3 linked regions of the Stegostoma tigrinum genome follow. Each later gene encodes a partner of the first gene's protein in a complex. Links are inferred from orthologs where the notes say so. Each region holds a gene or a part of one and is shown in the gene's direction. Other genes may lie near its edges. The genes, in order: itgav, itgb8 and itgb6.

Region 1 (7,700 bases):
GGACACAGACCGTTAGAAAATAGATGACAGGTTAGACAGAGGATCTTGATCAGCGCAGGCTTGGAGGGCCGAAGGGCCTGTTCCTGTGCTGTAATTTTCTTTGTTCTTTGTACTTACTCATAGTGATTTATTAGTATGGTGGAGGATTGGCTAACAGGAACTAAAAAGTTTGGATTCATTCATCATGTCGGATTGACAAACTGTAATTGGAATTCCCTGAGGATCATTGCTGGAGCCTTCATTATATATGATCTAAATTGATAATGTAAACAAAGGAATCCACCAGAAACAATCCAAATCCACTGATGATACAAATATAGGTACCAAAGCAAGTTTGAGGATGATACAATGGGTTGCAATGTTCTTGCCCTTAGACAAGGCAGATTGGCAAGTCTGCTTGAAATACCTGACAAATTCAGGAAAATTAGATTCTCAATGTTGAGAAATAAAGTCTTATTCTCCATCCCAGGTTTTGAAAGCAAGACAAGAATTTCACTTGTGAGCGGGAAATGGTCTATTTGCATTTATTTATATTTCATTATTTCCAGCTCACATAACATTTATGTTCAATTTGCCATTTTCCCAAATGTCAGAGAGAAATTAGCTCCTGAGGGAGTGCGGCAAAGGTTTACCAGGCTGATTCCGGGTCTGGTGGGACTGATGTATGAGGAGAGATTGATTGACCAGGTTTGATGGTATTTGCTGGACTTCAGACTAATGGGGAGGGGTCTCATAGAGACTTATAATAGTCTAATAGGACTAGACAAGGTAGATGTAGGGAGGATGTTCTCGATGGTGGGTGTGTTCGGAACCGGGGTCACAGTCTGAGGATTTGGGATAAAACATTTAGGACGGAGATGAGGAGACATTTCTTCACCCAATGAGTGGTGATCCTGAGGAATTCATTTCCACAGGAAGCAGTTGATGCCAAAACATTGAATGTATTCAAGAGACAGCTAGATATAGCACTTGGGGCAAATGGGATCAAAGGTTATGGGGAAAATGCAGGATTAGGCTATTGAGTTGGATGATCAGCCATAATCGTGGTGAATGGTGGAGCAGGCTTGAATAGATGAATGGCCTCCTCCTGCTCCTATCTTCCATGTTTCTATGACATAAAAATTGAAGTGAGTACCTGGCAGCTTCAACTTACTACTTGCTTCACTAGAACTCCATCTTGGCCTGGAGTGTCCAACACCTCAGTGCATGTGGAATGGGCAGTGATCATCTGCAACCCCGCCCTCATCCACAATGTTGACATTGCACATGTACCAGCCTCACGACGTCATCATTGAACATCTCCGACTCAGAATAGAGTTAGCAACTTTAATGCAGCATTGCATCAACATCTTTGATTGTAATGTTGCAGCCAGGCTGCTTTGAACACAGGGACAAAAGACCCATCTCATGCATTGGACAGGATGTACCTCAGGCATGTGCTTCATCTAAATGACCATGTCAAAGTAGGGGCAGCTCTCAGTCAAGTCCCAAGAGGCTGTCATCATTCAGGAGTTCTAGCACAGAGAGTCAAGGGCAGGCAGCATCTTTCTCATTCTTGGTGCTTGGACATGACTGTCAGTTGTTTGGGCAGCTAGGGGATCTGTTTCACTACCAGGTGAGAATGGGTCATGGTCAGTCCTGCAGTGCAACCATTCAGAGGATTAGTAGTAGGTCAGTCAGGGAACTTCAGGGCGATCAGTACGGTTTTCAAATACTTATCAATTGGGTTTGCCCTTCCAAGTCAGTTGGATGTTGTGGGATTAGGATGTTTGTTGGATTGAAGGGTTTATTTGCTGAAAATCAAAGTGGGTTATCAAGGACTACTGCTGTGGTGAGGAAGCTGAGGAAGTCATTTGCAGGAACAAAAACAGAAGTTGCTGGAAAAGCTCAGCAGGGTCTGGCAGTATCTCTGAAGAAAAATCAGAGTTACCATTTTGGGTCCAGTGACCCTTCTTCTGAACAGGCCTTTCCTCCCTTCTGAGTATGGGTCCCCAGACCAGAAACATTAGCTCTGATTTCTCTTCACAGATGCTGCCAGACCTGCTGAACTTTTCCAGCAACTTCTGTTTTGTGTCAAGTGTGTGATGCATAAACTGATCACTCATAGAATAAGGACCTCTCCTGTTTCTGATACTCCCTACATAAGTTCCATGGAAATGTGACCGATAGATCCCACCACACTGGATTTATCATCACTGTGGCTGTGGTGCAACAAAGCTGGAGAGAAACTAATGAAACACAAACGCAATAAACACAAATACACAAGCAGCAAACTTTGGTTGCTGAACAGCCTCCACCTGGAAAAGTTGCAGTTGAAGTTCTCCTCAGGGAATTGCAGGAGGTCTATCAAAGTCTATCATCCCATATGCCATTCCCTCCTGATGTATGAGGTGCATTGCTGCCACACACTGGGGATGTTTCTCAATATTCCAGATATCATCTGGATCAGGACGTATGAACTGATGAGTGGTTGTTCTAAACCAGTGACTACCAAGGTGACAACTGCACTAAATGTTTATGCAATTGGCTAATTCCATTCCTCTCAATGCTCAACCCACAAATGTAACTGCGAGCAATGTAATTTGTGAGAAAACACACCACTTTACCTCATTTCCCTATGGCAAGGTCATTGCTGTGCCTTGTGTAGTAGGCTTTGGTAATTACAGTTAGCTTCCACACATATAGACTGTACATATGTCGTGTTCAGAGTACCATATCATAACATGGCTGACTGCATCCAAAGAAAAGGGTTCCATTCCATCAATGTACAGTGATCTGTGATTATCAGTACCACATCTAAGACGTCTGTGCCAGATACAATGGGAGCTGGAATGATGCCTGTATCCTTGAGAACTCTCATGTTTCTGCTTTGCTTCAAAGGCCAGACGCTTGACAAGGATGGTTACTGGGAGGCCTGGGCTATCTTCTAAACCCACAGCTGATTACTCATTCGTACAATCCCCTGACAGATGCTTAGTGTAAATTTAATGTAGCCCATTATTTCTACAGGACCATGGTGGAACAGATGAATAGACTCATACAGAGGTTCGTGTGCTTGGAAACATTAGGGAGTGAGGTAGGGTGTGCTTGGGAAAGAGTAGCTCTCTCTGAGACACAGTTCTAACATGGAATGGAACTAAGGGCAGGTAATCAACCTGCAGCTTGTTTCTTGTAATATAGCTACAACGATCAGTCAGCTTCTATTTCCAATGAAGTGTCACCATGCCACATCTATCCCTAAGTGTTCCTTTTCATTTCCAACCCAATGCATGTACTGTGATTTATCTGCTGCACAGCTGGGCTTTAAATATGGTGCCAGTGGTGGAAATTTGGAAGGTCATGGCTTTTTGATGCATAGATGATGGGGTGAATTGGGAAGAATTCATCAGAAAACTTACTATAACTCATGAAGAGAAATCCTTGATGCAATACCCTGAAATTAGTGTTATTTCTTAAAATTCACCCCAAGGAGATTGCAAAGGTGTACAGTTAGGTCAAGTGAGTGGGCAAAAAAAAAAATCTGGCAGGTGGTGTGTAATGTGGGAGGTTTATTAGGTTGATTTCTAAGATAATTGGGCAGTCTTTTACTATGTTTCTCTTCACAGATGCTGCCAGCTGTTGAGAGTTTCTCCAGCACTTTCTACTTTTGTTTCGGTTACAGAAAAGTTGTGAATGGAGGTGGACATGATGGAATTGCTGCAGTCAACCCAATTCCTGACCTTATGGTTTAAGAGCAGTCTTGATGAAGTTTCTCTCCATTTAGATAATAAGCTGTCTTTCTATTCTTCTGACCAAAATGTTGAACCTAACACTTATCCATGTTAAACTCCATCTGCCAAATGTTGGCCCATTCACCTAACCCATCCCTACCCACTTGTAATGATTTTTTTAAAAAAAATCTTCATTGCGATGTACTTTCCGATCTATTTTAGTTTCGTCTGCAAATTTGGCTACAATACATTCTAACCTTGCATCCAAATTATTAATTTAGATTGTAAATACGTCGGGTCTGAGCACCGAACCCTGTGGCATTCCACTAGTTACATTTTGCCAATCAGAAAAAAGAAACAGAAAACGTCTTTCCTATTAGTCTTACATTGCATGTCAATATCCTGATTATCCCTGCTATTATTCAGCAACTCAACTTCAACACGCGAGATGCATTTCGTCTGATTTGCGATGTATCCTAAAACTAAACATCACGGTTAGATTGGTGATTGTAGGAGGCTTCGCAGTGGGTTATATGTCCAATTTTAAACAGTTCGCACAGTTTTTACCAGTGTTGGCTCCAGGAGCCATTAAGAGGTCATATTCTGCAGATCGGTTACTTTGACTTTTTTTTATTTCAGAGCGAAAACAAACTACTGCTGATGCCAGAGATGTGAAATCCGAAGGGACCTACTGGACTCGAAACATAACTCTCTCTACAGATGCTGGCAGACCTGCTGAGTTTCTCTCGCCCTTTTCTTTATTCCCTGGGAAGAAGTCTATGTAATTGAACCAAACGTGTGTCACAAAAGCGCGCAGCGACACCTCGTTTCCCACCTTGTCCCACCCCCACAGAAATCAACCCGATCTGATCTCCCTGTACGGAGCAGTTGGGTTGTTCCGTCCCAGTTGTCTGCTGGAATGTGCAGTGCAGGAGACCGGGGAGGGGGGGAGGTGGAAGTATGACAGGCATTAAGTTGCGGGACGCCTGGTTGGGTGGAGCTCCTCTTGCAGAAAGACGTCGGTGGAAAGCTGCCTTCATACCCGGGGTCGGGGAAAGACCGCCTCATTCACATCCGACATCCTCCTCACTTCACTTCCTGACACGAGCGGTGCGCGAGGTTGTTCTGTTGCCATTGGCAGCGCCAGACCAGAGGGTTCTGTTGCCATAGGTAGTGCCAGGCCTGTGTTCCAAATCCGAGTTTTGAGTCACAGTCTGGGAGCGGAGCAGCTGCCCTCCCACCAACAGCGAGAGCAGCGAAGTGGGGGGTGGGGGCGGATTGTCTGACTGGGCAAGCCGCGGCCCGTCGGTACAGTCGCTATCCACCCCGCTAACAAAACAGCGAGTCCTCTGAAGCTCACTCACATTCGCCCCGGATCTCGGACTGAACTGTTAAGAGTTTGGAAGGCGAGCACAACAAGCCGAACAAGAATGGCATCCGCGGCTACAGGCATTGGACGCCCGGCGCTGGCAGTGTTTCTGTTCACTCTCTCCTGTTCTTACGGGTTTAATCTGGACGCCAGCAACCCGTCTGTTTATTCCGGACCTCCGGGCAGTTACTTCGGATTTGCTGTGGATTTTTTCACACCTGCCCCGACAGAGTAAGAGATTTAAAACAATGCGGGGTGGGGGAGGGGGCTTTAAAGCCTGGACACTTTTCAACTGTGAACCAAGTTTGTTCTTCCAACAACAAACATAAAGTTAAGTCTAGGAATGCTGTTATGACTTAAGTGCAACGAATGCTGGTCTGGTGAACTGCTTCGATTGTAACATCTACTCAACGTATTAGTAAATGAAAGCAAGAACCGTATTGTGATTGTTAAATATTCGTGTAGCCCTTTCAGTCAAATCTGAACAACAACGGTACCTGGACAAAGATTGTCACAGACCTGTGTATGACTTGAGTTATCGTATCTGTGTTTGATCGATCCGTTACATTGCACGAGAAAAACGTACTTGCAGATAGGTGACAATACAGTAAATTGAACAAAGGCTTTAACCCCTCACTTTTTCTTTTTCTTATATTCGTACCAGGATAAGTATTTTAGTTGGAGCCCCAAAGGCAAATACTTCTCAACCAAACATAGTCGAAGGTGGGGCAGTATACAAGTGCCCCTGGAATAATGGGGCCAGCAACTGCGAACAGTTTGAATTTGACAAGACAGGTACTGTATACAAGTTCATGGTTCGATTTAACGTTTTAAATAATCATGCAATACTATAGTTGAGAGGATGACTGCTGATATAAGTAATTATATATTATGCATAATTATAGGGGATTTCAAACAAATATTTTACAAAAATCAGTATGAGATGCTTTCTCGAATTACTAATCAGTTGTTCTATCAACCTTTATGACTTTGAGAGTGGTCTGATCAAATGAACATGGTTAATATGACCACTCTTTTTTTAAGTATTCAGTTTTTTCTAAAATGTCAGTCTGCCTCCCTAACAGAAGCACACTATATTGCAGTTTCTGAAATTTAGCCTTTAAGGTCACTTAGAATGTCTGAGATTAACTACATCAGCAGCTGTTATTAAAGGGATGATAATGTATGAGATGTCCAATGCTGAATGTTTAGCACATTTGCCCTATTCAATTAGCAATCCTAATCTTGCCTTCAGTCAGAAAGCTGAGAGTTTGTGATCAAGTCTAGAGATTTGAATACACAGTCAAGTCTAACAATTCAATGATGTAATGATGGAATGCAGCACTGATGGACATCTCTTTTTTCTGGTGTGACCTTAAACTGTTTTACCTTGTTAGGTAAATATATAGCATTCCATGACAGTATTTGTCCCCCAGACACCACCTGTGAAACACCTATGTTGTTCGTTTCAGAAATAATGGGAACTGCAGATGCTGGAGAATCCATGATAACAAAGTGTGAAGCAGGATGAACACAGCAGGCCCTCTGATGAAGGGTCTAGGCCCGAAACGTCAGCTTTTGCGCTCTTGAGATGCTGCTTGGCCTGCTGTGTTCATCCAGCTCCACACTTTGTTATGTTGTTTGTTTCATTGCTGTTTCTGGAACATCATTGTCTGCAAATTGGCTACTGTATTCCAAATACTACAACAGTGACAACTTTCCGAAGTAATATTTAATAAATAGTAAATTGTTTGGGATAAATGCAATATATATTTGCTTATTCTTTTAAAATAGTTTAATGTATTTTAAAACATTGGGGATGAGACCAGTAAGTGCTGAAAGTTCCTGCCGGCACCCCGCCCCCAACCCCATTACCATCCATGCTAAACATCATTTGGTTTTGTTTATTCTTTGCCTGAGAGGTTAGTTGGGACAAGTGAAAGTCAAAACTATTTATCTCATGCTACTGTCTTCATTTACCTCCCCCGCCCCCAATTCAGATCGAGAAGTGCGTGATATGGTCACCTGCATTTATTAAACTAGAGAATGGCAAAAAAAGTGGATTCTGGAGTAATTAAAAAGCAATAATAAATATTTTAAAATACATTAAACCAAGAACAGGTGAAGTAGCAATTTACCTTCACTTCACTCAATCTAATCTACTGTATATGCTGCTCATAATGTGGCTTCCTCTGGGAAACAAAATGCAGACTGAGTGACCACTTTGCAGAACATCTACGCTGTGTTCACAAAAAATAACCTCCAGCTTCCAGTTGCCTGCCACTTCAACGCTGTGTTTCCTGACCAACATTTCTGTTGTGGGCCAGCTGCAATGAGGCTCAGCACAGGCTGGAAGAACATCATCTCATTTTTCACTTGGAGACCCTGCAACCTTCCCAACTCAATATTGTGTTCAATAAGTTTACATCCTGAACATCATCTTCCAAGACCTTTACCCAGTCCCATACCCAGACCTTGTCGTCATTTGGGCTGCTTTCAGCACAGTCAGTCTATTTTCAACAACTTATGGTCCACATTATCAGCTTCTCTCCTTCCCTAACATACAATTGTCCATCCTTTTGTTTGCCAAACTGCCTTTCTCTCCTTCTGGGTTCTGTCTC
Region 2 (7,871 bases), on another chromosome or scaffold:
GTGAGAATAATGATTGTCAGTCTGATGAGCACAAGATAAAAAGCTTCAAGAAAATTTCTCTTTTTTTGGCAATACTTTGTATTTTTAGCCATCCATAGAACTCGTAGCTTTGGATGCCCTGTTGTTTCTCCTTGTGAAATATATGTTCTCTGCACTGAAACACTGAAAGTTCCCATTGCCTATATGTTGCTTTGTTTTAAATTCATCAATGGGATGTGGTCGCCACTGGCAAGGTAAACATTTATTGTCTATTCCAATTTCCCTTAAAAAAGTGGTGGTGAGCTGTTTTTTTTAATGACAACTGAATGGCTTTCTTGGCCATTTCAGAGCACGTTTAAGAGTCATACACTGGAAGCTTAAGTTGTAAGTAGGCCAGACTTGGTAAGGACAGTATATTTCCTTCTCTAATGGACATTATTGAACCAAATGCTGTTTTACAACAATCTGGTAATTTCATTTTTCTGTTACCTGGGCTAACTTGTAGTTCCATACTGATTTGTTTATTTTAAATCACCAGCCGTAGCTGGGGGAGAAGCAATTATCATGCAATTAGGCAAGATTCAGGATGCACAGGATGGGGAAGGAAATTGCAGGGGCTGGGCACAATTGAAATGTGGAGCTTATTCAAGGGACAGTTACTGCGTGTCCTTGATATGTATGTACCTGTCAGGCAGGGAGGAAGTAGTTGAGCGAGGGATCTGTGGTTTACTAAAGAAGTTGAATCTCTTGTCAAGAGGAAGAAGGAGGCTTATGTAAAGATGAGGTGTGAAGGCTCAGTTAGGGCGCTTGAGAGTTGCAGGTTAGCCAGGAAGGATCTAAAGAGAGAGCTAAGAACAGCCAGGAGGGGACATGAGAAGTCTTTAGCAGGTAGGATCAAGGAAAACCCTAAAGCTTTCTATAGGTATGTCAGGAATAGAAGAATGACTAGAGTAAGATTAGGGTCAGTCAAGGACACTAGTGGGAAGTTGTACGTGGATTCCGAAGCATTAGGAGAGGCACTAAATGAATATTTTACATCAGTATTCATAGAGGAAAAAGACAATGTTGTCGAGGAGAATACTGAAATTCAGGCTATTAGACTAGATGGGATTGAGGTTCTTAAGGAGGACGTGTTAGCAATTCTGGAAAGTGTGAAAATAGATAAGTTCCCTGGGCCAGATGCCAATTATCCTAGGATTCTCTGGGAAGTTCAGGAGGAGATTGCAGAGCCTTTGGCTTTGATCTTTATGTCACCATTGTCTACAGGAACAGTGCTAGAAGACTGGAGGATAGCAAATGTTGTCCCTTATTCAAGAAGGCGAGTAGACAACTCTGTTAATTAATGACCAGTGAGCCTTACTTTTGTTGTGGGTAAAGTGTTGGATAGGATTATAAGAGGTAGGATTTATAATCATCTAGAAAAGAATAATTTGATTAGGGATAGTCAACACGATTTTGTGAAGGGTAGGTCATGCCTCAAAAACCTCATTGAGTTCTTTGAGAAGCTGACCAAACAGGTGGATGAGATTAAAGCAGTTGATGTGTTGTATATGGACTTCAGTAAAGCGTTTGATAAGGTTCCCCATGGTAGGCTATTGCAGAAAATATGGAGGCATGGGATTGAGGGTGATTTAGCAGTTTGGATCAGAAATTGGCTAGCTGTAAGAAGACAGAGGGTGGTGGTTTTTGGGAAATATTCATCCTGGAGTTCAGTTACAAGTAGTGTACTGTAAGGATCTGTTTTGGGGCCACTGCTCGTTGTCATTTTTATAAATGACCTGGATGAGGGCGTAGAAGGATGGGTTAGTAAATTTGTGGATGGCACTAAATTCGGTGGAGTTGTGGATAGTGTGCCAAGGATGTTGCAGGTTACGGAGGGACCTAGATAAGCTGCAGAGCTGGGCTGAGAGGTGGCAAAGGGAGTTTAATGCAGAAAAGTGTGAGGTGATTCACTTTGGAAGGAGTAACAAGAATGCAGAGTACTGGGCTAATGGTAAGATTCTTGGTAGTGTGAATGAGCAGAGAGATCTCGGTGTCCATGTGCATAGATCCCTGAAAGTTGCCACCCAGGTTGATAGGGTTGTTAAGAAGGCATACAGTGTGTTAGGTTTTATTGGTAGAGGGATTGAGTTTCGGAGCCATGAGGTCATGTTGCAGCTGTACAAAACTCTGGCATGGCCACACTTGGAGTACTGGTCGCTGCATTATAGGAAGGATGTGGAAGCATTGGAAAGGGTGCAGAGGAGATTTACCAGGATGTTGCTTGGTATGGAGGGAAGGTCTTATGAGGAAAGGCTGAGGGACTTGAGGCTGTTTTTGTTAGAGAGAAGAAGGTTAAGAGGTGACTGAATAGAGACATACAAGGTTAGAGGATTAGATAGCGTGGACAGTGAGAGCCTTTTTCCTCGGATGGTGATGGCTAGCACGAAGGGACATAGCTTTAAACTGGAGGGTGGCAGATATAGGACAGATGTCAGAGGTGGGCTCTTTACTGAGTAAGTAGTAAGGGGGTGGAATGCCCTGTTTGCAACAGCAGTAGACTCACCAACTTTAAGGGCATTTAAACAGTCATTGGATAAACATATGGATGATAATGGAATAGTGTAGGTTAGATGGGCTTCAGATTGGTTTCACAGGTCGGCGCAACATTGAGGGCCAAAGGGCCTGTACTGCGCTGTAATGTTCTAAGTTCTTGACCCCAAGTCCAGTAAGATCACTTTTCTGCTATACCCTTTTCACCTACCAACCTACAATTATAATACAACTGGGCCAGATCCATTTCTTTAACACTTGAAATTAAACCTCCTGCAATTAGACTCCGTAACATGTGAATCTCCTTTCTCCTACTCCAAACCTTACTATATTAGAATCACAATTACCTAAATGCCTTTCCTGCAGCAATGCACTCCATTTCCCTCTCTTCACTTCCCAGGACTGGATTCAGTTTGATATTTCAAGATAATAGAATGTGAGGCTGGATGAACACAGCAGGCCAAGCAGCATCTCAGGAGCACCGACATGCATATGGTCACAGAAATTTGAGGGTGCATACATGAGGATCAATGGTCGGCACATCATCGTGGGCTGAAGGGCCTGTTCTGTGCTGTACTGTTCTATGTTCTATGTTCTAATAGCCATTTAATATTGGCCCTCAAATGTGGCAGATGTGTTGTCCTCAACAAAAAATATTTCCATTTAAAGCACACACCTTATTTATTCATGAATTAATTACATCATAGTCATAAACCCTTTGGTTTTGAATCTGATTATTTTTATTATTTGGGCCATTATTTGTGTACCCTTAAGATGGAATGATTCCCCATCAGGACTATAACATGCATTGCACAAATCATGCATCAGGAACAAGACATCAACAATCAAATCACCTTTTGAAAACACCATCCACATTCAGGACCCAGGAGGAGGCATTCGCTACAACGGTTCGTTTTTTCAGCAGTGCATTTGTTCCTGGCTGGAATATTAGAAAATGTAAGCAATTAAAACGTTGGGATTCGATTCCACTTTGGGCGCCAACAATCAATCACAACCTTACGTGTTTTGATAGCTGCACGATTGAATAGAGTGTGCATCCATTCAATCTGGACGAGTAGCAGCCCTTCTGAACCACGAATCCTTTTGTTTTTGAAAAAAAAGTGTGTAAAACTGCAAGAAATTACAAACGCCACGTCAAGCAGACACTCACCACCTGTCTTGCTGGCTGCAACTGCGATGGTCAAAATGTGAACGACGCTTAAGAAGACCTTGGCCGGGAAGTGCCTGGGTTTTAGGAGTGAGCCGGTTGCGAGAATGAAGACGCGCAGCTTCATGGCGGTTGTGCTCCTGAGATGCTGCTTGGCCTGCTGTGTTCATCCAGCCTCACATTCTATTATCTTGGAATTCTCCAGCATCTGCAGTTCCCATTATCTCAGTTTGATATTTCACTTGCTTAGAAACACGCTGATAATTGTTTTCTTGTGGGATCTTGTCTCCATCTTTTTTGGTTCACGGCAGTAATAATGGGTTTGTTTGATGATCATGGTGATTCCAGATAAACTACAGATTTGTAGGAAAAGGGGCCATAATCGTGGATTGGCTTGATGGGCCGAGTGATGTTAATGATTTCTTGAGGCATTTATTTTCCAAAAATAATACTGGACACATTAATTTGGGAACCAGTCTCAGTGACTCACTGCAAAGAAACATATCATTTGATAAGTCTTTTTGTTTGTTTTTCCTACCTAAAAGATCAGTGAATAAAAGCAGGAAATACTGGAGAAACTCAGCTGTTTTGGCATCGTCTGTAGAGAGAGAGAAACGGAATTAAGTTTGGAGTCCAAAAACTTCCTCAGGACTCAGTTTCTCAGTTTGAGTTCAGTTCCGAAGAACAGTGGTACCCCAAGTCTGTTTCTCTCTCCACAGATGCAGTCAGATCTGCTGAGTTTCTCCAGTATTTTCTATTTTAGATTTCCAGTATCCATAGTATTTTGATTTGTTTCTTTTTTTTTAAAAAGGTCAAAACTTTAGTCTGCTGATAAAACATTTGGCTTTCGGCACTCCACACTGGAAGAAATGGTTGTGCTTAAAGGTAAATTATTATTTCTTTTTCTCAACAATTTTAAGGAACACTTATTCGAGATGCTGTTTTGAACAGGCTACATTTGGCGGCTAATATGGAACAGACCGTCATGGTATTTGATGTTATTGACTGAGGAGTGAGGAGAGTTTTGCACCTTTAAGGAAACTGCCTTGTCGAGCACGGTCTCTGCTCCGCGTTTCTGTGGCAACAGTGAATTGAGGTTCAGACAATCTGAAAAGTCGAGTGAAAACGTGTTTGCAGAAGCTGCGGCTTCAGACGTAGCCAGAGTTGGTGTCTGAATCTGCTATTAAACTTTTACAGTTTGTTTCCCCCCCAATTCACTTATCTGTCTATTGAGAAAAAAAGCTTTCCTCTCTCCGTGTTCTCCGACAGAGAAACTCCTAGGAGGGACTAAAGAGAGTTGTTTAAACTGCTGGGGGAGTAGTTTCTTTCGTCCCTCGACTTACGATAGGCTTCTGGGTGAATGAGTGGGTGAATAAAGGGATTTCCAAAGCTCAGTGCACAATAGACAGAGAGAGAGAGAGGAGGAGGAGGAGAATAAGGATAAGGATAAGGAGGAGGAGGAGGAAGAGGAGAAGGAGAAGTAGAGCTCCGTCCCTGGGCAGCTTGTGCTGGGAGCTCCTGGTGCTCTGGGATGCTTCATCCTGCGGTCAGTGCGCGACTCTCCGCAGCCCGAAGCCCCTCTCAATCGCTTCGCCCGTGCGCTTCCTCACGCCATGAAGCTGCGCGTCTTCATTCTCGCAACCGGCTCACTCCTAAAACCCAGGCACTTCCCGGCCAAGGTCTTCTTAAGCGTCGTTCACATTTTGACCATCGCAGTTGCAGCCAGCAAGACAGGTGGTGAGTGTCTGCTTGACGTGGCGTTTGTAATTTCTTGCAGTTTTACACACTTTTTTTTCAAAAACAAAAGGATTCGTGGTTCAGAAGGGCTGCTACTCGTCCAGATTGAATGGATGCACACTCTATTCAATCGTGCAGCTATCAAAACACGTAAGGTTGTGATTGATTGTTGGCGCCCAAAGTGGAATCGAATCCCAACGTTTTAATTGCTTACATTTTCTAATATTCCAGCCAGGAACAAATGCACTGCTGAAAAAACGAACCGTTGTAGCGAATGCCTCCTCCTGGGTCCTGAATGTGGATGGTGTTTTCAAAAGGTGATTTGATTGTTGATGTCTTGTTCCTGATGCATGATTTGTGCAATGCATGTTATAGTCCTGATGGGGAATCATTCCATCTTAAGGGTACACAAATAATGGCCCAAATAATAAAAATAATCAGATTCAAAACCAAAGGGTTTATGACTATGATGTAATTAATTCATGAATAAATAAGGTGTGTGCTTTAAATGGAAATATTTTTTGTTGAGGACAACACATCTGCCATATTTGAGGGCCAATATTAAATGGCTATTAGAACATAGAACATAGAACAGTACAGCACAGAACAGGCCCTTCAGCCCACGATGATGTGCCGACCATTGATCCTCATGTATGCACCGTCAAATTTCTGTGACCATATACATGTCCAGCAGTCTCTTAAATGTCCCCAATAACCTTGCTTCCACAACTGCTGCTGGCAACGCATTCCATGCTCTCACAACTCTCTGCGTAAAGAACCTGCCTCTGACATCCCCTCTATACTTTCCTCCAACCAGCTTAAAACTATGACCCCTCGTGCTAGCCATTTCTGCCCTGGGAAATAGTCTCTGGCTATCAACTCTATCTATGCCTCTCATTATCTTGTATACCTCAATTAGGTCCCCTCTCCTCCTCCTTTTCTCCAATGAAAAGAGACCGAGCTCAGTCAACCTCTCTTCATAAGATAAGCCCTCCAGTCCAGGCAGCATCCTGGTCAACCTCCTCTGAACCCTCTCCAAAGCATCCACATCTTTCCTATTATAGGGCGACCTGTATTCCTTCATAGCGAATTCATTAGCTTTACCTTGTCTACACTGATGACACACATTTCACCTCACTATTAGCCCTGTTGGTCTCAGCATTTACTCTGCTTTGTAATACAACTTGTCTGATTCCAGTGTTCAGAGGTTATAGTTCTTCCATTTGGATAGCAAGAAGAGTAAAGCCTCATCTTTGGTCACTTCCACAAACCCAATCTACTGAACATTGATAGGCCTGAAACATCAGCTTTTGTACTCCTAAGATGCTGCTTCGCCTGCTGTGTTCATCCAGCCCCACACTTTGTTATCTACTGAACACTTACTAGGCCACCATCCCAGGCAGAACAAGACAGGTCACAGCCTTAGTGATATGTGGTTCTGATCTAAACATGTTTCTCCCTCCATCCTCTCCATCCTCAAGATTGCTAACATTCACATTTGTCACTTTGTTCATCTGTGCTTTCACTTTCATGCTGACACTTTCATCAGCTATACCTTTGTTATCTCTAAGACTTAACTATTGCAATACATTCCTGCCTTGGCCCCATCTTATAGCCTCTAAAAACCTGGCCTCACATACTACACTGCTGCTTGGCCCTAACATACACTAAGTCATGTTCACCAGTCACACAATATTTATTGTAAACCACTGGCTGTCAGCCCAGCTACACCTTGTTGTCCTTGTTATCAAATCCTTCATGGCCATACTGCTCCCTATTTTTTAACTTCCTTCAGCAATATAACCCTGTGAGACTTCTGCACTTTTCTTGGCTTCCTGCCTTTCCTCAATTTCCTTTGCATCATGATTGTCAGCTGTAACCTCAGTTCCCTAATTGTTAAACTGTGGAATTACCCTGCCCAACCTTTCCATCTCTTTAAAGATGCTCATTACCTCTTTGATCATGCTTTGGGTCAAATGTCCCAGCATTTCCTTGTATGGCTGGTTGTCAAATTTTGTTTTCACTCTTGTGAAATGTCTTGGGATGTATTAATATTTAACACTTGTATAAACCCTGAAGACATTTAGGGACAATTTAGGTGAACACTTGAAACACAGTAGCATTGTGTTCCTATCTCTGAGCCAGTGAGCCTGAGTTCAAATCCCAGTTACTCCAGAGATGTGTCACAAAAACACCGAACAGGTTAGTTGGAAAACACAAAGCCACAGGCCAGATGCTGGGAATTTGGAGTAGAATAGATGAGTGTTTGATGACCAGTGGAGGTACAACCAGCCAAAGGGCCTTTTGTATTATAAAAACTTTACAACCTCTGTGTTAAATGTACTGTATAAATATTGTTGGCTTCACTTCAAGATGGTAATCGTTAAAGTTATTGAAGAGTGATTCGTGAATAAGCAAACAAAATAGTAGGGAGACATTTTATGTACATATCACA
Region 3 (7,411 bases), about 20 Mb from region 1:
TCCATAACTTGTCACTCCCTTAGCTAAGTAAGTTCTTCCTATACAGTTACAACACTGACATCTACCTGATGATGTGGAAAATTGCCCAGATATGTCCTGTACATAAAAATCCAACCTGGCAAATTACCATTCTATCAGTCTCCTCTCAATCATCAGTAAAGTGATCAAAGGTGTCATCAACAGTGCTATCAAGCAGCATCTGCTCAGCAATAACTTGCTCAATTATGCTCTGTTTGGGTTTCACCAGGGCCACTCAGTTCTTGACCTTATTACAGCCTTGGCTCAAATGTGAACAAACAGCTGAATTCCAGACATGGGGTGAGAGTAAGAGATAACAAGGTGCAGAGCTGGATGAACACAGCAAGCCAAGCAGCTTCAGAGGAGCAGGAAAGCTTAACCTTTCAGGTCGGGGCCCTTCTTCAGAAATGGGGTGAGAGTGACAGCTTTTGACATGAAGGCCACACTCAAGGGAGTGTAACATCAAGAATCAGTGAGAATTGCAGGAAAGCTCTCATACTTGACAATGAAAAACAATTGTGGTTGTTAGAGGCAAGACATGTGTCCTCCACGACCTCTCTACAGGAGTACTTCAAGGGTAGTTTCCTCGGCTTAACTATCTTCAGTTGCTTCATCAACAGCCTTCCCTCCATTATCAGGTCAGAAATGGGTTTGCTGATGATTGCACAATGTTGAGCATCTTTTGTGATTCCTCAGATATGGAAGCTGCCTGTGTCCATATGCAGCAAGATCTGGACCAAATTTAGGCTTGGGCTGATAAGTGGTTATGAATATTCACAACACGCAGGTGGTAAGCAATCACATCTCCACCAGGAGAGAATATAAATAATGCTCCTTGACATTCAATGGCTATGTCACCTTTGAATCCTCCAGTCTGAATATCCTGGGGCTGCTGAACTGGATCAGATATACATGTGCTGTAAATGTTATGGGGCCATGCATTTTTCATTTTGCATTAAAATGAAATGGAAATTGGATGCTACTGTAAAGTTGAAATACCAGAAAAAGTTTTAAAACTTGGATAGGGCAAGTGGTGCTCATTTTTGGGCTTTGGCCATTGATGTCCCTGACCCAACTGAGGTGGTTGGGTGGTAGTATGTGCTTTCCTTTTCCATGTTTGACCTCATACCATGAGTTTTTATTGGGGATCTGAAGTGAATGTTGAAGACTCCCAGGGCAACTTCCTCCCTACTTTGTACTATTGTGCAGCAACTTTTGCTGGAATGTCTTTGTCTAGAATGGAATATCTTTGAGGCTTCTTTGCATTTTGATGTAATTGAGTGGCTTAATTAGCCATTTCTGAAGATATTTAAGAGACAACCATGTTTCTGTGGGTCTGGAGTCACCTGGAGACCAACCAGGTAAGGTTGCATGTATCCTTTTTGAAAAGACATCAGTGAACCAGCTTGTTTTGTATGACATTTGGCAATGATGTCATGGTCATCATTAGATTTTTATTCTTGAATTCTATATCTACCATCTGATAAGATGGCATTCAATATCTGGGACCACACTAAGATCATTACCTGGATCTCTGGATTACTAGCCCAGTGACAATATGCCTTCTATTCTCCCAGTTTGTGTGAAATATGTCAATCCCATCAAACACAACAATTGAAAACCTCTCCATCCACATGAGATTCTTTTGAACCATGGGGCAAGATTGCCACATTCCATGGCCAATTACAAGAGTACATTCTGGCGATTAACTATTTCATCAAATTGTCTTTTGAATTTCAAATTAAATATACCATTGGTACATTGGTTATTGACACATTGAATGCCATAATTGCCAAATTCAATAATTGTCAAAAAAATGGTGTCTAACAATGGTCCACAGTACAGTAGTGCATCCTGACAATTCATGTGCAGGAAATCGGGTGGTCACCATATAAGGTCCTTTCTTTATTACCCCCACAGAACACACTGCTCATACTGTAAAGTCTCCAACAACTAAATGTAAAGCAACTTGCTGAAATTTTGTGTGTGAATATATGTCTTACTTCTCAAGCCAGTGGTTTACTCCCACTGGCAGCTCTTATGTTTTGGAGCTGATACAGACAGTTCTTCCTTCGCACACTCTCAATGCCTAGCCATGTGCACCAGGTGTAGTTGGAAAGAGGGAGAAAGTGGTGCAACAACATGATTAACAAGTGTGCAAACAGCTATACAGGTGGAACCAAGAGAAAACATATGAATCTGAGATTTTATACAAGCACACAGATTGATGTAAGATAGCCTTTGTTTTATCTGCTCTTGCTCGTATTATTTGATAAAGAACAATGGTCAAGTCCTTTGAATAACTAAATGCCATGTACATGTCATGTTGGATAACTGTTCAGAAGCTGAAGAAATCATACTAGTCAACAACTGCACATCTAAAACAAGTGATAGTTGTACGTCTTATAAATGGAAGTCAGTTATCTTAGTTGGCTGGATGGCTGGTTTGTGATGCAAACTAATACCAACAGTGTAGGTTCAATTCCTGCCACCAACCAATGTTACCATGAACGACTCTCCTTCTCAACCTCTCCCCGGGGCATGGTGACCCTCAGGTTGAACCACCACCAGTTTTGCCTCTCTCTATTTAAAGATTATGAGATAATGCAACTTTATTTTTCAGTCTTGTAAATTAACTTTAACTGCCTGATTCAACAGAACCCATGATTTATGGTCTATGCTATGTTGAATAGCACATATGGCAAACCACAAACAGCATCAGAGAGAACCTTGCAGGTGATGCTGTTCAGATGTATCTGCTGCCCATCTCCTTTGAAGGTGGGATAACAAGGCGTAGAGCTGAATAAACACAGCAGGCCAAGTAGCATCAGAGGAGCAGGAAGGCTGATGTTTTGGGCCTAGACCTTCCTAGTATCCTTTGAAGGTGGGACAGATTGAGGGTTTGGAAGGTGTTAAAGAGGAACTTTGGTAAGTTGTTGCAACATATCTTATAGATGATACACTTTGCTGGCCTTGTGTATTGCTGGGCAGTAATTGGGCGTCAATCAAATGGATGCTTTGTCCTAGATGATGTTGAGCCTTTTGAGTGCTACTGGAGCTACATTTACCCAGGAAAACTCAGTCTATTAAATTACAGTCCTGACTTGAGCATTGTAGATGATGGGCATTGTTTAAGACATCAGGAGATGAATTTCTTGCTGCAGAAATCCAAACCCTTACCTGCTCTTGTAGCCACTTTATTTCCAATGCTGTTCAGTTTCTGGGTTATGGTGAATTCCAGGGGAAAATGGGATATTTCAGAGGTGGTTATGTCCCTAAAGGTGTTGTAACAACAGACAGCAATATTCAATAATATTGTTCAAACTATAGATATATTGAGAATTCAATTAGGTAGCATTAAGTTTATTGTTCTGCATCCATCAAGCATACCTTCATCAGTTTTTATTGTTCATTCATGGCATGTGGGTATCATTGGCTAGGCCAGCATTTAATGCCTGACCCTGACTGATCTGTAAGCCAACCAAGTGGGATAGGATCAAAAGACCCCAAGACATAGGAGTGAAATTAAGCCATTCAGCCCACAGAGTTTGCTCCACCATTCAATGAGATAACAGCTGACCTGAAAATCCTCAAATCCACTCTCCTGACTTTCCCCCATAAACCTTGATTCATTTACTGATTAAAAATCTGCCTATTTCAGCCTTGAAACCTCTACAGCAACCTCTACAGTCCTCTGCAATAAAGAATACCACAGATTTACAACCGTCTGACAGAACAAATTCCTATTTATTTCATCAATGGGTGACCCCTTATTCTGAGATTATATCTTTTGGTCCTAGATGCTCCCACAATGGGAAATAGGTTTTCTGTATCTACCCTGTCAAATCCAAAAATCTTGTATTTTTCAATATAGTACTGCTGAAACTTTAATGCTGCAACCGCATAAAGTGATTTATTTGTGAAGTAACAAATCTGTAATCGGAGCTCCTCAGCTGGGACATTTACAAAATTGGTACCACTGTGTGATGCCTCCTACAATGTATCAAGGATTCAGAACCGTGAAGACCGTGATAGGTTATCTAACCTGTGGGAGCTTTCTCACTCTTTCAACAAATAGGTATTTTTCACATATTATCCTTGCCATTTCCAAGTCTTACAAAATTTGAGTTTTGTTAGCAATGTTGGAGCAAAGTTGGCACGGTTAGTTGTAGATCAAAAATAAACTAGTTTGAAATGTAACACCTACATTTTCACAAAGGAGGAGTAAAAGGCTACCTGATTTGCCAACTTGTGATGTCATGATGGAAACATTTTTTAAGAGCATGCTCAGTCTATCATTTCCACCCACAGAACCCATCATGGCCAGTCAGGTTGTTCTGGTGTGTGGAGGATCCCTATGAAGAACCTGCAAGGTACGTAATGCGTCTTTTTGAGTCAGAGATTGTAGAAAACCTGGTGGTGATGTGCAGGTTGTTGTCTTAATTTCCTGTTTGGAAATTCCCCAACAATGGCAAACTATGTTTTGTTTTAAGTGTGTACATGGTAAGTTTGTATCAGATCTGATTGCCATACTTTCTCAAGGGCTAAGTAACATTGTATACATAATAGATCAAACGAGCTGAGAAGTGGGGTGTGTGTGTTTACCTAAGTGCTGACACATCATGTTATCCTCCCTGAAATGTAATAATGTGGAACAAGGAAAATGTTTCAAGCACTCTTGAAAAAACATCTCTTTCAAAACAGCTATGTACAATTTACGGTTACAGATTCCCTCCAAATTATGTTCTTTCAGTTGAGAGAATGAATAAGCACAATACGCAGAGACAAGTGTAAACTCAAAGTAACGTAGTGAAAAAAACCTATTTTCTATTATAATTTATATTATTCAGCTCTCATGACTTGATTTTAGTAGTTCCAACTGAAAAGCAGCCAAGCTATTCAAATAAGTATTTGAAATCTGTGCTGCTATTTATCACATTTTTTGAAGCTGCTTCAGATATTTTGAAAGTGCTCTTACTATAAGCTCATTTGCCAAAGAGTTCATTGACTGATTATGTAGGTTTTAGACATGTATGTTCAGTGTAACTGCTACTGAGATTTTCTGGGGCCTTCAAAAGGCATTTGACAAGGTGCCAGTCTAAAGACTTCGAAAAGGTTAAAGGTACACAGAGTTTATGGCAGGATGACTATTCAAATAGAAAAGTGCCAGGGACAGCAGGGAATGTCAAAAAAGGAATAAAAGAAAGTGTCTCATAAGTCAAAAGTTTCTTTTTTCTAGTTCTTGGGATGTAAGGAAAGCTGTTGAAGCACTATTTATTGCTCACTGCTGGTTGCTCTGAGAGCATTAAGGTTTAAGCAAAATGTGTGATCAGGGTTCACGTATAGAAGAATGAAGTTTATTCTTCAAAGTGTATTAATAAATCAATGGATTTTCATTACAAAATAGCAGTACCATTCATGATAATGTTTATCTTACCTACTGAAATGATCACATTTACTGAAATTTAATCATTTTTAACAAAATAGAAATTTTTAAGGTTCTGTTATCAAGCCTTCATGTGGCACATGTACCTAACAGTGCTCTGTGGCAATTACCTTATTGACTTTGTTGCCAATATGATTCTGTATTTTCTCCCTGTCACTGATAAGTAACATACCTCATATTGGCTGACATTCAACAGACATTATGTCAATTCAAATCAATATTGCTGTCTTTGGAACAGATTGAAATTGGTGGGTATGATGTTGTGGGTTTCAGAGATATGGCTGCATGGAGATCAGGACTGGGAATTAGATATCCGAGGATGTGCATCCTATTGAAAGTACACACAGATAGGTAGAAAGGGCAGGGTTGGCTTGTTTGTAAGAAATGAAATTAAATCAATGCCAAGAAATAATATAGAGTCAGAGGTGTAGAATCTGTGTGGGTAGATTCAGGGAACTACAAAGGCAAAAAGACCCTGATGAGAGTTGTGTACAGGCCTCCCACACATTAGTCAGGATATGGGGCAGGAAGTAAATCAGGAAATAGAAAACATATTTCAGAAAAATACTGTTATGGGGAACTTCAATATGCAAGTGGACTGGCAAAATTAGAAAAGGAATTCGCGGGATGTCTATGAGATGGTTTTTTTGGAGCAGCTTATGGTGAAGCCCTCTAGGGAACAGCCAATTCTGGATTTAATGATGTGTAACGAGGCAAACTTGATTAGGGAGCTCAAGGTTAAGGAATGGCTAGGGGGCAGTGACTATAATATGATAGAATTCATTCTGCAGTTTGAGAGGGAGAAGTTGGAATCAGATGTAACAGTATTACAATCGAGTAAGATAACTTTGAAGACATGAGGAGCTGGCCAGTGTTGATTGGAAGGGGAACCTAGCAGGGAAGATGATGGACTAGCAACGGCAGGGGCTTCTGGGGGTAATTCGGAAGGCACAGCAAAAATTCATGACAAGGATGAAGAAACATAACAAAGAGGGTGAATGAGATAACCATGGCTGATGAGGGAAGTTGGGGCAACACAAAACCAAAGAAAAAGCAGGCAAAACAGTAAAGAATAGTGGGATGCCAGAGAATTGGGAAGCTTTAAAAGGCAGCAGAGAACAACTGAAAAAGCATAGAGGGAGAGAAGATGAAATATCAGGAGAACCTAGCTAGAAATATAAAAGAAGATTGCAAGAGTTTTTATAATGAACAAGAACAAATAATAAAGAACAAAGAACAGTATAGCACAGAAACATGCCCTTCAGCCCTCCAAGCCTGCACTGACACATTTTGCTCTTCCATACTAAAACTGTCTTCACTTACAGGATCCATATCCCTTTATTTTCTTCCTATTCATGTATTCATCCAGGTGCTCCTTGAATGCTACTATTGTGTCTGCTTCCACCTCAAAAGAGCCGCAGTGCAGTCCAGGCATTCACCACCCTTTGTGTGAAAAACTTGCTTTGCACATCCGTTTTAAAATCCCCCTGAATATCCACACAAAGTATTCATTTAGAATCTCACCCACCTCTTCTGGCTCCACACATGGATTCCCTCCTTTGTCCTCGGGTGAGCCAACCCTTTCCCTGGCTATCCTCTTGTTCTTTATATATGTATAAAAGCCTTGGGATTCTCCTTAATCCTGCTTGCTAATGACTTTTCATGACCCCTTTTAGCTCTTCTAATTTCTTGTTTAAGTTCTTTCTAACTTTCTTTAGATACTTCAAGGGCTTTGTCAGTTCCCATCCTCCTAGACCTTATCTATGCTCCCTTTTCCTTTTTTGAGCAAAGTCATATCATACCTGGTCATCCAAGGTTCACGTAACTTGCCATACCTATCCTTCATTCTTGCATTAATGCACTGATCTTGAATTCTTACAAAGTGCCATTTGAAATACTTCACATATCCAGGTTTGTACAGGTCCCACCTCTCCCACAACCAATACC

The links.
Region 2: the proteins of itgav (region 1) and itgb8 are in contact, whole or in part, in a cryo-EM structure (PDB 8TCF), measured with the Homo sapiens proteins. The link is inferred for Stegostoma tigrinum from reciprocal best matches to the Homo sapiens genes ITGAV and ITGB8. Residues at the interface, in NP_002201.2 of Homo sapiens: Tyr48, Phe51, Trp123, Leu141, His143, Gln150, Glu151, Arg152, Pro154, Phe184, Gln186, Phe189, Pro204, Trp209, Asp249, Tyr251, Tyr254, Arg275, Arg278, Thr279, Gln301, Met302, Ala303, Tyr305, Phe308, Pro328, Leu329, Met331, Ser335, Asp336; in NP_002205.1 of Homo sapiens: Ser197, Pro198, Ile202, His203, Pro204, Arg206, Ile250, Asp251, Thr252, Pro253, Thr287, Ser288, His289, Leu290, Ala291, Leu292, Asp293, Lys295, Leu296, Gly298, Val300, Pro302, Glu321, Ser324, Leu325, Gly326, Gln327, Glu330, His349, Trp350.
Region 3: the proteins of itgav (region 1) and itgb6 are in contact, whole or in part, in a crystal structure (PDB 9CZA), measured with the Homo sapiens proteins. The link is inferred for Stegostoma tigrinum from reciprocal best matches to the Homo sapiens genes ITGAV and ITGB6. Residues at the interface, in NP_002201.2 of Homo sapiens: Tyr48, Phe51, Lys72, Trp123, Leu141, His143, Gln150, Glu151, Arg152, Pro154, Asp178, Ala179, Phe184, Gln186, Phe189, Pro204, Tyr208, Trp209, Asp249, Tyr251, Tyr254, Pro274, Arg275, Arg278, Thr279, Met302, Ala303, Tyr305, Phe308, Pro328; in NP_000879.2 of Homo sapiens: Ser183, Pro184, Phe185, Lys187, Thr188, Thr189, Pro190, Ile236, Asp237, Thr238, Pro239, Asp273, Ser274, His275, Phe276, Gly277, Met278, Asp279, Lys281, Leu282, Ala283, Gly284, Val286, Pro288, Glu308, Thr311, Ile312, Gly313, Gln314, Ile316.

What each region holds. Positions count from the first base shown.
Region 1 is NC_081360.1:39,317,809-39,325,508, reverse strand, and holds the start of itgav (integrin alpha-V), read left to right. Parts: upstream 1-4,621; 5' UTR 4,622-5,140; coding exon 5,141-5,310; intron 5,311-5,743; coding exon 5,744-5,874; intron 5,875-7,700.
Region 2 is NC_081355.1:73,667,359-73,675,229, forward strand, and holds the start of itgb8 (integrin beta-8), read left to right. Parts: upstream 1-4,808; 5' UTR 4,809-5,292; coding exon 5,293-5,416; intron 5,417-5,647; coding exon 5,648-5,733; intron 5,734-7,871. UniProt on the Homo sapiens protein: Integrin alpha-V:beta-8 (ITGAV:ITGB8) is a receptor for fibronectin. It recognizes the sequence R-G-D in its ligands.
Region 3 is NC_081360.1:59,583,747-59,591,157, reverse strand, and holds the start of itgb6 (integrin beta-6), read left to right. Parts: upstream 1-4,325; 5' UTR 4,326-4,391; intron 4,392-7,411. UniProt on the Homo sapiens protein: Integrin alpha-V:beta-6 (ITGAV:ITGB6) is a receptor for fibronectin and cytotactin. It recognizes the sequence R-G-D in its ligands. Internalization of integrin alpha-V/beta-6 via clathrin-mediated endocytosis promotes carcinoma cell invasion.